Drosophila melanogaster: one gene and its partner. The protein of the gene in region 1 purifies or fractionates together with the protein of each later gene. This does not show direct contact. Each region holds a gene or a part of one and is shown in the gene's direction. Other genes may lie near its edges. The genes, in order: FBXO11 and CG3708.

Evidence for each region.
Region 2: the proteins of FBXO11 (region 1) and CG3708 purify together in Drosophila melanogaster (affinity purification with mass spectrometry, with the first as the bait; one large-scale study listed by BioGRID). This does not show direct contact.

The regions. Positions count from the first base shown.
Region 1 is NT_033777.3:9,803,206-9,811,166, reverse strand, and holds FBXO11 (F-box protein 11), read left to right. Parts: upstream 1-1,798; 5' UTR 1,799-2,484; coding exon 2,485-4,647; intron 4,648-4,748; coding exon 4,749-4,929; intron 4,930-4,992; coding exon 4,993-6,067; intron 6,068-6,148; coding exon 6,149-6,278; 3' UTR 6,279-7,681; downstream 7,682-7,961. Other genes in the region: CG8526 (uncharacterized protein), read right to left, coding at 7,757-7,961.
Region 2 is NC_004354.4:928,298-932,019, reverse strand, and holds CG3708 (uncharacterized protein), read left to right. Parts: upstream 1-1,921; 5' UTR 1,922-2,035; coding exon 2,036-3,124; 3' UTR 3,125-3,222; downstream 3,223-3,722. Other genes in the region: CG3706 (uncharacterized protein), read left to right, coding at 1-992; MED22 (mediator complex subunit 22), read right to left, coding at 3,253-3,470, 3,535-3,636, 3,693-3,722.

The DNA.
Region 1 (7,961 bases):
GCTCCTTGGTTGCCACTACCCAAAAGAAAATTGGTATGGAAAGGAAAATTTCTTAAAGGTAGCAGCTCCTAAATGAGGTGCACTTAAAAAGAAAGCACATATGGAGAATTTCATACATTACAGAGGATTTCAGTTTAAGTAAAAGTAAAAGTTTTAAAAGAATATGGTAGTGGTTATTATTTTCGACACATTAATGTTGTTTACACGACTAAATATCGCGGCAATAATAATTTAATTGTCCACCTTTGCCCTGCTTTCAGCTTGACCACAGGAAAATCCATTTGCTCAGTTTTTTCGTCGGCCTGAATCCGAAATGCGAAAACTGGCACTGGCACTGGCGGCCGCCTGAATAATGAAGGCAAATCGGAAAAGAGGCAAAACAGCAAAAAGTTAAATGCCTCTAATGACAGAAAATGAAGCAAATGACGAAAAATTGCGCAAAACAAAGGAGACAAATAATAATATGCGAAAATGGTTGACTCGGACGCTTCCACCCACCGGAGGCCACCGACCACCGCCCACTTGAGGCCACCCACATTCACGTTCACATCCTCGAGAGCTCAAAGGAGAGGAGAGCACGCACCAGCGAAGATAGGAAGGTAACCGTGGGGGCCAAGTGAATTACCAACAACGGGCGAATCAAGAAAAGCATGTGCGCGGCATAATTACGAAGCAATTAGACGAAATTATTATTGAGGTCAGCGGCGAGGAGATGCCGGGGAGTACAGGACACCAGACCCCCCGAGAACATATGGCCATAGTCAACCCACCCACCCCCCTTTTCGGTGGCGTCGGACCAAAGGGATGCGTATGCCATTATCATTCACGCCGGGTGAGGGAATGTAAAGGAAGTAGAACCTCTAAATGGGCACCACAAAGCGCAGACCAAAACAACACTCGTAACTACAAGCTGGTTTAAGTGGCGAAAACCGGAAAAAAATTACGGAAAACGACGAGTGGACGAGGACACAACGAATAGGTCGAGAAAAACTATAAACAAATGATTAACAAATCATCTTAGGGCAGCTGTATGGCCCATGTTTCAACTATAAAAGTGAACGAATAAAGTAAAATCTAAGATTAACTCTTTTCAATTTGTTTGTATATTGAGAGTGTCAAATACGGTGCTACACAATTAAATTGAAACAAAAAAAAATTATTTATTTCTTATCTCTAATTAGTTTTATTTCGAAACTACGTCTGATTTTTGTAACTTTTAAGTTTAATAATTGGAATCCAGCTGGACAGCGAACTCCAAAGAGTGCTATTTATATAAAAAGTATGCTTAACATTTGACACGTGCCTTTTGGCATTTGGGTCACAAGTTCAGTAAAAGAAACATTTAAGTTCAATTTCCCATAGTCGATGCAATCGCGTGTGCGAAGTTCAATGTTGGGCACTCGTTCAATGAAGCAGTCAAAACATGGCGCAAAACGGCAATGACAAGCAGGTGAACAATGAAACTTATACCCAAAGGAGGCGTGACGCGGCCTTAATTGTCGATATGCTGCAGCTGATGTGTTTGGTTGCATGTTGGCTGTTTACCACGCGCTCCCAAAATCAGTACAACTTAATGCAAACATTTAAAACTTATAAAATTTAAAATGTTTAAGATTTATGAACGCGGTAAAAGCATACATTTAATTGTGCATTATAATTTAAAATAGACACGAAGCATTTGAATACGCGCCAAAAAGATATCAATTTCATCGATATTAAAATCGATTTCACAAAAACGATGCCAAAAAATACCAAACGTCTTTAAGGCGCTGTCGGTTTTTTTCCGTTGCTAGCTGGTATTTTCCATCAGTCGAGCAGCGGTCACTCTCAACGCTAAAATTAAAACTCCGAGTATAGGTGGTTTCGCTTCTGAAATTTTGGAATAAAAGTGTTCAATTGTGTCAAGTGCACAAGCTATTGGATAGAACTTGCGTATTTGCATTGTGAAAAGTGTTTATTTGGACCGCGAAACAAGCGAAAAGAAATCAGAGTGTCTGCTGCGAAGACGAATTAAAGGGGAGACGGAGTAACAATGAGTGAGCGAGACGGAGCAGACCAGCGTGTACGCTAGCGGTGCTCTTCTAACCAAATAAAACAAAACAAAGGAGAGACAAAGGATAGAAACCCCGAAAAAGGCACACTCGCACACACATACACATGCACTCGCTAGCAATAAGAAGAGCAGTCAGCAGACGGATAAACTTTAGCAAATGTAGCTAAATTAACAATCAATCGAAGGGTCCAAGGATATAGCCAGCCAATCCGAACCGATCGGTGGCACTCCACATCGAAAGCGAAGTGAGGGGAACGAGAGAAAGAGCGAAAAGTCGTCGCCAAATTGTGCATGTGCATGTGGCAGTGTGTGTATGCCAGTGTGAGTGCGTGTGCATATGGGGTTGGAAAACTGTGAAAACTCAAACGCAAAAGTCTTTGGGTCTGATTAACTCGTGGAAAACTGATCATCGCTGGGCAGGTGAAGCGAAGATGCCGAGCGCCTCATTCACCTCATCGCGCACCTACGTGCGCCGCTCCCGACGGAAAGGAGCCAACCGGATAGCAATGCCCAACCGGCCGACGGGCAACATTATGGACCCCATGCTTCAGCAGAACGTGACCGCCGCCGGTGCGGGAGCCAGTGCATCCGGTTCCAACAGCAATGCCGCCAGTAGTTCCGGGGCTGGTGGCGTTGGCAACAACAACGCCAGCAGTAGCGGAAGCAGTGGCGCCACCTCCACATCCGGATCTGCAGCGGCGGCAGCATCAGCCGCCGGACCTACTGCAGCAGGAGCCTCTAGTTCTGCAGAGTACTTTGACAGCGGCCAAGGAGCTAGTGGATCCAGCGGAGCAGCTTCATCGGGCTTCTCTGGCAGCTTTTACAATGCCCTGCAAATGATGGACACCACTGAGAGTTCGGGCGCCGGCACCAGCCAGTCAACGCCACCGGCATTAGGAGCCTCCTCCACCACCGCTTCGAAGTCCACCTGCGCCACAGTCGGATCTAGTACGGCAAGCACGTCGGCCGCCGCAGCAGCTGCAGCCTCCGCTTCTGCCGGAAGTAGTCACCAGAGCCCGTACGACTTGCGCCGAAAGATCTCCGCTAGCAGCCACGAACAGTGGCCCACTAGTTCATCTTCCGCCGTGGCAGCAGCTGCCGCAATACTCGTGGGACCATCGAGCAGCTCCCCGCCACTGGTTAATCCGGGTGCCTCGCCCTCCAGCTCCTCATCGTCCTCCTCCTCTAGCTCGTCGTCTTCGTCCGCCTCGTCCTCGAGCTCCTCGTCCAATGTTCAGGCGCCCTCGACCAGCGCCACCTTTCCGGTGAACAATGCACCCACCACTGGAGCCACTCTGGCGCAGCCACCCAATGTCCACAGTTCGGTGCCGCAACAGCATTGTGGAGCACTGCCGGTTGGCGCTGCCATCGAGGATAATAACTACATGCTGCCGGCTAGGAAAAGATCTCGACGCCTCTACACACAAGGCGGAGAGATGGGACCGTCTGCAGGTGCCACAGGTGAAGCAGCCGGAGCTGGAACAGCTGCGTCCGGCGGAGCAGGTTGTGCGCCCACAGCGGCCCAGTACCTTCAGTATGAACTGCCCGACGAGGTACTGCTGGCCATCTTCTCGTATCTTATGGAACAGGACCTATGCCGGCTGGCGCTTGTATGTAAGCGCTTTAACACCATTGCCAACGACACGGAGCTGTGGAAGCGTCTCTATCAGTCTGTCTTTGAGTACGACCTGCCGCTCTTCAACCCGGAACTGTGCAAGTTCGTGTTTGAGAAGCCCGAAGAGTCGGAGTACGCTAATCCGTGGAAAGAGAGCTTCCGCCAGCTGTACCGCGGTGTGCACGTGCGTCCCGGTTACCAGGAGCGTCGCAGCTCTGGCCGTAGTATTGTGTTCTTCAACACCATTCAGGCGGCTCTGGATTACCCAGAAGAGCGAGCGGCTGCAGGAGTTTTTGTGCCAGCCGGTGCAGGAGCCGGCAATGTGGTATCCGCCGGACTGTCCAACACAAGTGCGTCAGCGGGAGTCGGTGGTGCCAGCGTTAACGCACTGGTCAACATCTATGAGGAACAAGTGGCTCCGACCGAGCATCCTGGACCATTGATATTCCTACATGCTGGTCATTACAAGGGGGAATATTTGTTCATCGATTCGGACGTGGCACTTGTTGGTGCAGCGCCTGGCAACGTTGCCGAATCAGTGATCTTGGAACGGGAGGCCGGATCCACTGTGATGTTTGTAGAGGGGGCCAAGTACGCCTACGTGGGTTACCTCACACTCAAGTTTTCGCCTGAAGTTACATCAACAGTATCGCATCACAAGCACTACTGCCTGGACATCGGCGAGAACTGTTCTCCAACTGTGGACAATTGCATCATTCGCTCTACCTCGGTGGTGGGTGCTGCCGTCTGTGTGGGCGGGGTCAACGCCAATCCCGTCATTCGAAACTGCGATATCAGCGACTGCGAAAATGTAGGTCTATACGTCACCGACTACGCCCAGGGAACATACGAGCACAACGAGATCAGCCGGAACGCACTGGCGGGCATTTGGGTTAAGAACTTCGCCAGTCCGATTATGCGAGAGAACCACATACACCACGGTCGGGATGTGGGCATTTTTACCTTCGAAAATGGAATGGTAAGCTGAAGCTAATTGTATTACCACAACTCATTGTAATTCATTTGGAATATAACATTAACATCATATTAACTATTTTAATGTTTGATATCCTTTTTTAGGGCTACTTTGAGAAGAATGATATCCACAACAATCGTATAGCTGGTTTCGAGGTTAAGGCCGGAGCCAATCCTACCGTGGTTAAGTGTGAAATCCATCATGGCCAGACGGGCGGCATTTATGTGCACGAGAACGGACTTGGTCAGTTCATAGAGAACCGAATTCATTCAAATAATTTTGCAGGTAAGCTAACAATGCCAGAACTAGATCATTAATGGTATCTAACACACGCTTTTTGTCGTCAAGGTGTCTGGATAACCTCCAACAGCAATCCAACGATCCGCAAGAACGAGATCTACAACGGACACCAAGGAGGAGTGTACATCTTTGGCGAGGGTCGGGGTCTTATCGAACACAATAACATTTACGGAAATGCTCTGGCAGGGATTCAAATTCGCACCAATAGTGATCCCATAGTGCGTCACAACAAGATCCATCATGGCCAACACGGCGGCATATATGTACACGAGAAGGGTCAAGGGCTGATAGAGGAGAACGAGGTGTACTCCAATACACTGGCTGGCGTGTGGATAACCACTGGGAGCACTCCAGTATTGCGACGCAATCGAATACATTCGGGAAAGCAAGTGGGAGTCTACTTTTATGACAACGGGCATGGAAAGCTAGAGGACAATGACATATTCAACCACCTGTACTCGGGAGTGCAAATCCGCACGGGCAGCAATCCAGTAATACGCGGCAACAAGATCTGGGGCGGACAGAATGGTGGAGTACTGGTGTATAATGGTGGTCTGGGCTTGTTGGAGCAGAATGAGATATTCGACAATGCCATGGCCGGTGTTTGGATTAAAACGGACTCCAATCCGACGCTAAAGCGCAACAAGATCTATGACGGTCGTGATGGCGGCATCTGCATCTTCAACGGCGGCAAGGGCATCCTTGAGGAAAACGATATATTCCGCAACACACAGGCCGGTGTACTCATCTCGACACAATCCCACCCAATCCTGCGACGGAATCGCATTTACGATGGCCAAGCGGCGGGCGTGGAGATAACCAACAATGCCACCGCCACGCTTGAGCATAATCAGATATTCAAGAACAAGTTTGGTGGGCTGTGCCTAGCCAGCGGCGTTCAGCCCATAACGCGGGGCAACAACATCTTCAACAACGAGGACGAGGTGGAAAAGGCCGTATCCAGCGGGCAGTGCCTGTACAAGATTAGCAGCTACACCTCCTTTCCCATGCACGACTTCTACCGCTGCCAGACCTGCAACACAACCGACCGCAATGCCATATGCGTCAATTGCATTAAGAATTGTCATGCTGGTCATGACGTCGAGTTTATACGACACGATCGGTAAGTGAGCAGAGAAGAACTAATACATTGTATTTTTATATTTTATAAATAAATAATATATTTTTTTTATATATCTTGCAGCTTCTTTTGCGACTGCGGTGCTGGCACCCTGTCCAATCAGTGTCAACTGCAGGGCGAACCCACTCAGGACACGGACACACTCTACGACTCGGCAGCCCCCATGGAATCACACACACTGATGGTCAACTAGAGAACCCCCAACGGCAGCTAATCCACTATAGATATATCTTAAGTCGTTAAGGCCAATCTCTCAAATCTCTCGCACATCTCACGCGTTGCTGTAAATATTCAAAAGAAACCCAAACCCAACAAACAAAAAAAAAAACTATACACAATACAATTAATTGTATGTAAATAATAACTAATTATTCTTGCGTTCAAAATTTTACTCAATGTGCAATTTAGTTTAACACGAACTCACACGCAAAGTTTTCACTTTTTAACTGAGTATGTTACGGATAAATCAATGCAAAAACCACTGAAACTTTTCCCATTTATGTCACAACGAATGAAAAACTAAAAAGAGGAGCAACACCTTAAATACACAATGCATTTGTTTGTACGTCAAAATGTAAACGAAGGAGGCGCGATAGAGCCCTCTCGAAAACCCAGTGAAAAACAATTTTGTAATGTAGATTAGTAGAGATTTTAAAAGTACATCAATTAACATAAACTACGTGTAGGCATAAGATATATTCATAAGCGATTTACACATACACAGGCGAACCGAGTAAGATGTCCCCCCTCCTGACTAACAACAATTCGAAGAAAGCAATTCTAAGTATTAACAACAAACTAGATTAGCGGCAGCCAATGCTTCAGCAAACTAACCTATGAATATACGAGTATAGTAAACACATAACATAATTATACAGCATATACAGCACACTTTATATATATATATATATATATATATATATATTCATGAGAATTCTACGGATGCAGCACACGGACAACATACAAAATCAAAAGCCTTTTACCAAGCGTAAAATACCAAGCAATATTTCATGTCTAAATGTTGTAGAACAAATTTGTAGCTCAAACTTAAGCGAGAAATAGAAACAAGCCATGTGTCATTTTAGTTCAGTAAGTTGATGAAAAGTTTAGTATTTAGTTTGTCTTCGGGCCGAGTATTCGAATTATGCGAATCATTTTTATAATTTAAGTCTGTAGTAGCCTAGGTGTAAGTAACGCAAAACCCATAACTATTGCATAGATGACATTATCCGATAACTGCGTGTGTGAATTAAGTATTTTGTTTTTATTGCCTTACATTTTATTTATATTTGTTTGCCCGTGTTTTCCGCAACGGTTCACCATCGTAGGCCATTTATCGCTGTACGGATCAAATAACCACATAAATACTGCATACTATATTCTATATTCAACTATATGAAATATACGAACATCCGATTGTATTGTTTTACTAACAAAAATTTAAGTGCGTCCTCGACGTGCGACTATACTATGTAGAAATTGATTTTAATGTGTTACCTATGCAAGCAAATAACGTCGCCCTTGACTTGGACAAACAACTAAATATACATACTTATATTATATACACAAGGTATAAGCTAATATTTGAAATTTGACAAAAAAAAATTAAGAAAAGAGGTTGAGATAAGTTTTTAATTTGGAATTTAGAAACAGACATTGCTAAAAGTGCTTCTATTGCGTGCAGGAACACGGATCTTTCTTGGCCAGCTCCTTCTCCTTGAAACGCATCAGGGTCAGGATGTGGGCATGATTGGCTGCCTTGGCGTAGTCGATTGGCGACATGCCCAGCTCATCCTTGATGTAGGGATTCTCGTAGTGCGGCAGCAGATAGTCTACCACCTCGTGATTACCTAACTGGCAGGCGTAGTGCAGAGCC
Region 2 (3,722 bases), on another chromosome or scaffold:
TCCTCAAGGCGGCACTGTACCTGTGGCTTCCCGAAAGCGGCCTGTTCAGTTCGCCGAATCTGCCCGATATGGTATACTTCACCACCGCGGATGGAGCGGAGAGCAACGCGTTCCAGGGTGGAGGCTTCCACGTCTACCAGGAGGCATCTATGCGTGTGTGGCGGCTCAAGTACTCCGGACTGCTGAAAACTCAAGGGCCGGACGTGCAGGACGTAGCCGTGGACTTGGACCTCCGTTTCGAAAGCTCCTCCGCTGAGCACTTCGACTACAACAGAGATCTGAGCAGCGCCCTGATAGCCGACTCCATAGCCAGAGAGGCCTGGAACGAAAAGTTCTACAGCCTGCTGCGCAGCGTCAACCACATCGTAGAGAAGCGCACCCACTACGAACAGAACGGAGAACTGGCCGGCCAGGTCACGCTCGATGGCAAGGAGCTGGCGCTGAAAATGGTGGGCTTCCGGGACCACAGCTTCGGCACCGAGCGCTGCCTAAGCTCCATCAACCGGTACGTGTACTTTGCCCTCTTTATGGACGATGGCAGCAGCATGGTGGTGGGCAGCCTCAGTCAGCCGTCCTTCTTCCTGTCCTCCCTGAAGGTGGGCTACGTGTGCAGCCCCGAGCGGCAGTATCAGCCGCTGACCGGGAGCAACTTCGAGCTGTACTCGTACGGCGAAAAGGGAACGCCGCCGCAGCACCAGAATTTCATTGTGCGCACCGAGGAGCGGGAGTACCTCGTGCAAATCCAGGTGGAGGCCTCCGCGCTGCGCTACGTCGGCGGCGACTGGGAGTCTAAGGTGTTCAACCAGTTTGTGGCCTGCACGGTCAACGGAGTTCCCGGCCAGGGCCACGCCGAGTTCCTGTACCGCCACAAGGGCGGCAGGCCGGAGGATATATCGTCCGGGGACCCCGGCTGGTACCAGGACATCAAGCGCTTCGAGAGAAGCCTCTCGTTGCTGGAAGAGGAGGGCCAGGACGAAGACTTCATCTTCTAGGACGCCGACGAATTGTTTTTGTTTTCAGTTTAAGATAGCATGTAAAAGTATGGGGGAGACCCATCCTATCAAAATAAAGAGATTTTGTTTGAATGACATTCGAGATTCTGAAGTCATTGGCCGCGCTGATGTCATCGGTAAGTCCAAACTAATTCAGTTAACCAACAATCCAACAGCAATATCCACTGGAGGCCATCCGGTGCAGCTGCAATCTGGTGGACTCGGGTCGATGAGGAAGATTACCGAATCGCTGGTGGAGGAATTGGACCCCCCGTGAGGATTAGTCGCCCATAAATTAGCATGCGACAGACGAACGGATTAGATTGGACAGCTACTTCGGTTTTTCTCCCAATAAATAATGGCGATTCGGGCCATCGGTTTATGGCACCCAAAAGACAACGGGCCCCACTTATCGCTCCGTCGGGCCAATAAAACCCAAGACCAGGCACCAAGACTGGGCCCAAGTGCCCAGGTGTCGCAGATAAGAGGCGAGCGGCGGGGCAGATAGCTTCAATCCAACAAAATAAACCATGCTCGGGATCTGAATGGAGCATTATGCTGCCGTCCGGTTCCGACCTGCCGCAATGTCAGCTTATGGTGGGCCGATAAGTGCCGGGCATGACCCTCCCTTCAGTGTCCAGTCCACAGCCCATATCTGGGCTCATGAGCAGGTAGCTCCGATAACGCAACCGCCGACAGATATTGGCCACCGATTTGCCCGGAATTCGGCAAATCATGCACTGTTTCTGGAATTCGCCTTCATTAATTATGCACGTAACTCTGAAGTGGTATTCCTCGTAGGCGAAATTATTTGTTAGATTACGCAGTTATTGTAATCAAAAATGCGATTGCTTCTGGGCAAATCCAAGGAATCATCAGCCGAATTTTCGTTCCCAGTAGTAGGCCGGTTTCTGTGGAAATCAAGGAACAGCTTTGATCTAGCATAGTAGTTTCCAAGTGCCCAGTCGCAGAGCTGGAATATACTTGTAGATTTATATACATATATGTTGCCAAATTTCGAAGTTATTGCACCGAATTGCACAATGATTGGGATGGCTGACAGCGCGGAGGGGGTTACCCAGGAAGACAGCCACACGGAGTCGAGGGCAGACGGCATCAGCGGGTCCTTGCGCTCCCTGGGCACATATACCCAGGAGTCCACAGAGCCGGCTTTGAGTCCGGCGGACCTTCCCGCCCGCAGCCGGAAGGCCTTTCTGCGGCACATGATCGGCCAGCTGGCGGAGCCCGTGCAGAACCGCATACGGGCACTGCGGCACAATCAGCTGCAACAGGTACGCATTTCGGAGCAGTTCTTCCGGGAAGTCTACGAGCTGGAGCGACGTTTCTACGGCCAGAGCTGCGCGCTCTTCGATGCGAGGCGGGATATTTTGGAGGGTTCGGTGGAGCCACCGATCCAAACGGAGAAGACCTGGCCCGAGGACCCGCAGGATGCTCTGTACCTGGACTTCGGGAACAACGAGGAGCTGCGACAGCTGAGGCAAAAACTGGCTCCGGTTTCGCCGACTACGCTGGGTGTTCCACGCTTTTGGCTGACAGTTTTCCAGAACGTGCCCCTGCTCTCGGAGTTGGTCCAGGATCACGACGAGCCGCTTCTGGAGAGCCTAATGGATGTGCGCCTGGCTTACGACCAGGACAGCTACATGGTCATCTTTCAGTTTCGGCCCAATAGCTTCCTGCACGATTCCTCGCTGCTGCTCACGAAGCGCTACTTTCTGCAGCACTCGGCGGACCCGGAGTATCCCTTTCTGTTCGAAGGGCCCGAAATAGTTCGTTGCGAAGGCTGCCACATCCACTGGCGCGATGGCTCCAATCTCACTCTCCAAACGGTGGAAAGCAGGCGAAGGAACAGAGCACACCGAGTCACCAAGGTCATGCCTCGGGAGTCCTTCTTTCGCTTCTTTGCTCCGCCGCAGGCCTTGGACCTGTCGCTCGCGGATGAAAAGACCAAGCTGATCCTTGGCAACGATTTCGAAGTGGGCTTCCTGCTACGCACCCAAATCGTCCCGAAGGCGGTGCTCTTTTACACGGGCGACCTAGTTGACAGCCTGAGCGCGGCCTCTCCGGACAGTCGCTCCTTGTCCTCGGAGGCGGAACAGGAGCAGGTCTTGTGAGTGCGACGCGACTAGCTGTTTGCTAAACAAAATTTACAAGTGAATGTGGTAATGATTTCTTATTAAATTCTACAGTTCGGCCAAAGCCAGTTCATCACAAATAAGGTGAACCCCTTCCCCTCCTAGCGCTACTTAAAAATGCTGGTGTAGTACTCCTCCTCCAGGTCGTACAAGTCCATGGCCATTTCGTCCCTAAGTTTCATCAGCTTCTTGTCGCACTCGCTCTGTGTGTTCCTGAACAGCTGCGAATTGTTTGTGATGGCCTCGTTGACCGAGTGAAAGTCGTTGAGGATTAGGTACTGTTTTAGGTCGGCCACCAGCTTCATCAGAGACTCGCCGGCACGGACTATAAAGCGGAATGCATGAAGGAAATGGCTCGAATCTGGTTCCCAGGGAGTGGATTTACTCACCCATGTTGGCCGCGCGGACCTGCATTTCCAGGGCATCCTGTTCGCACTGCGTGGTCTTCGAAATCTGGCTGTGGCTCTCACGGCGCGCCAGCTTGAGTATTTCTGGAGGAGAACACGGTATTACAATCTATTGCTCGGAGCAACTGAGCCGCACTTACCTTCAAAATTCTCCAGCATGCTGCGAACGT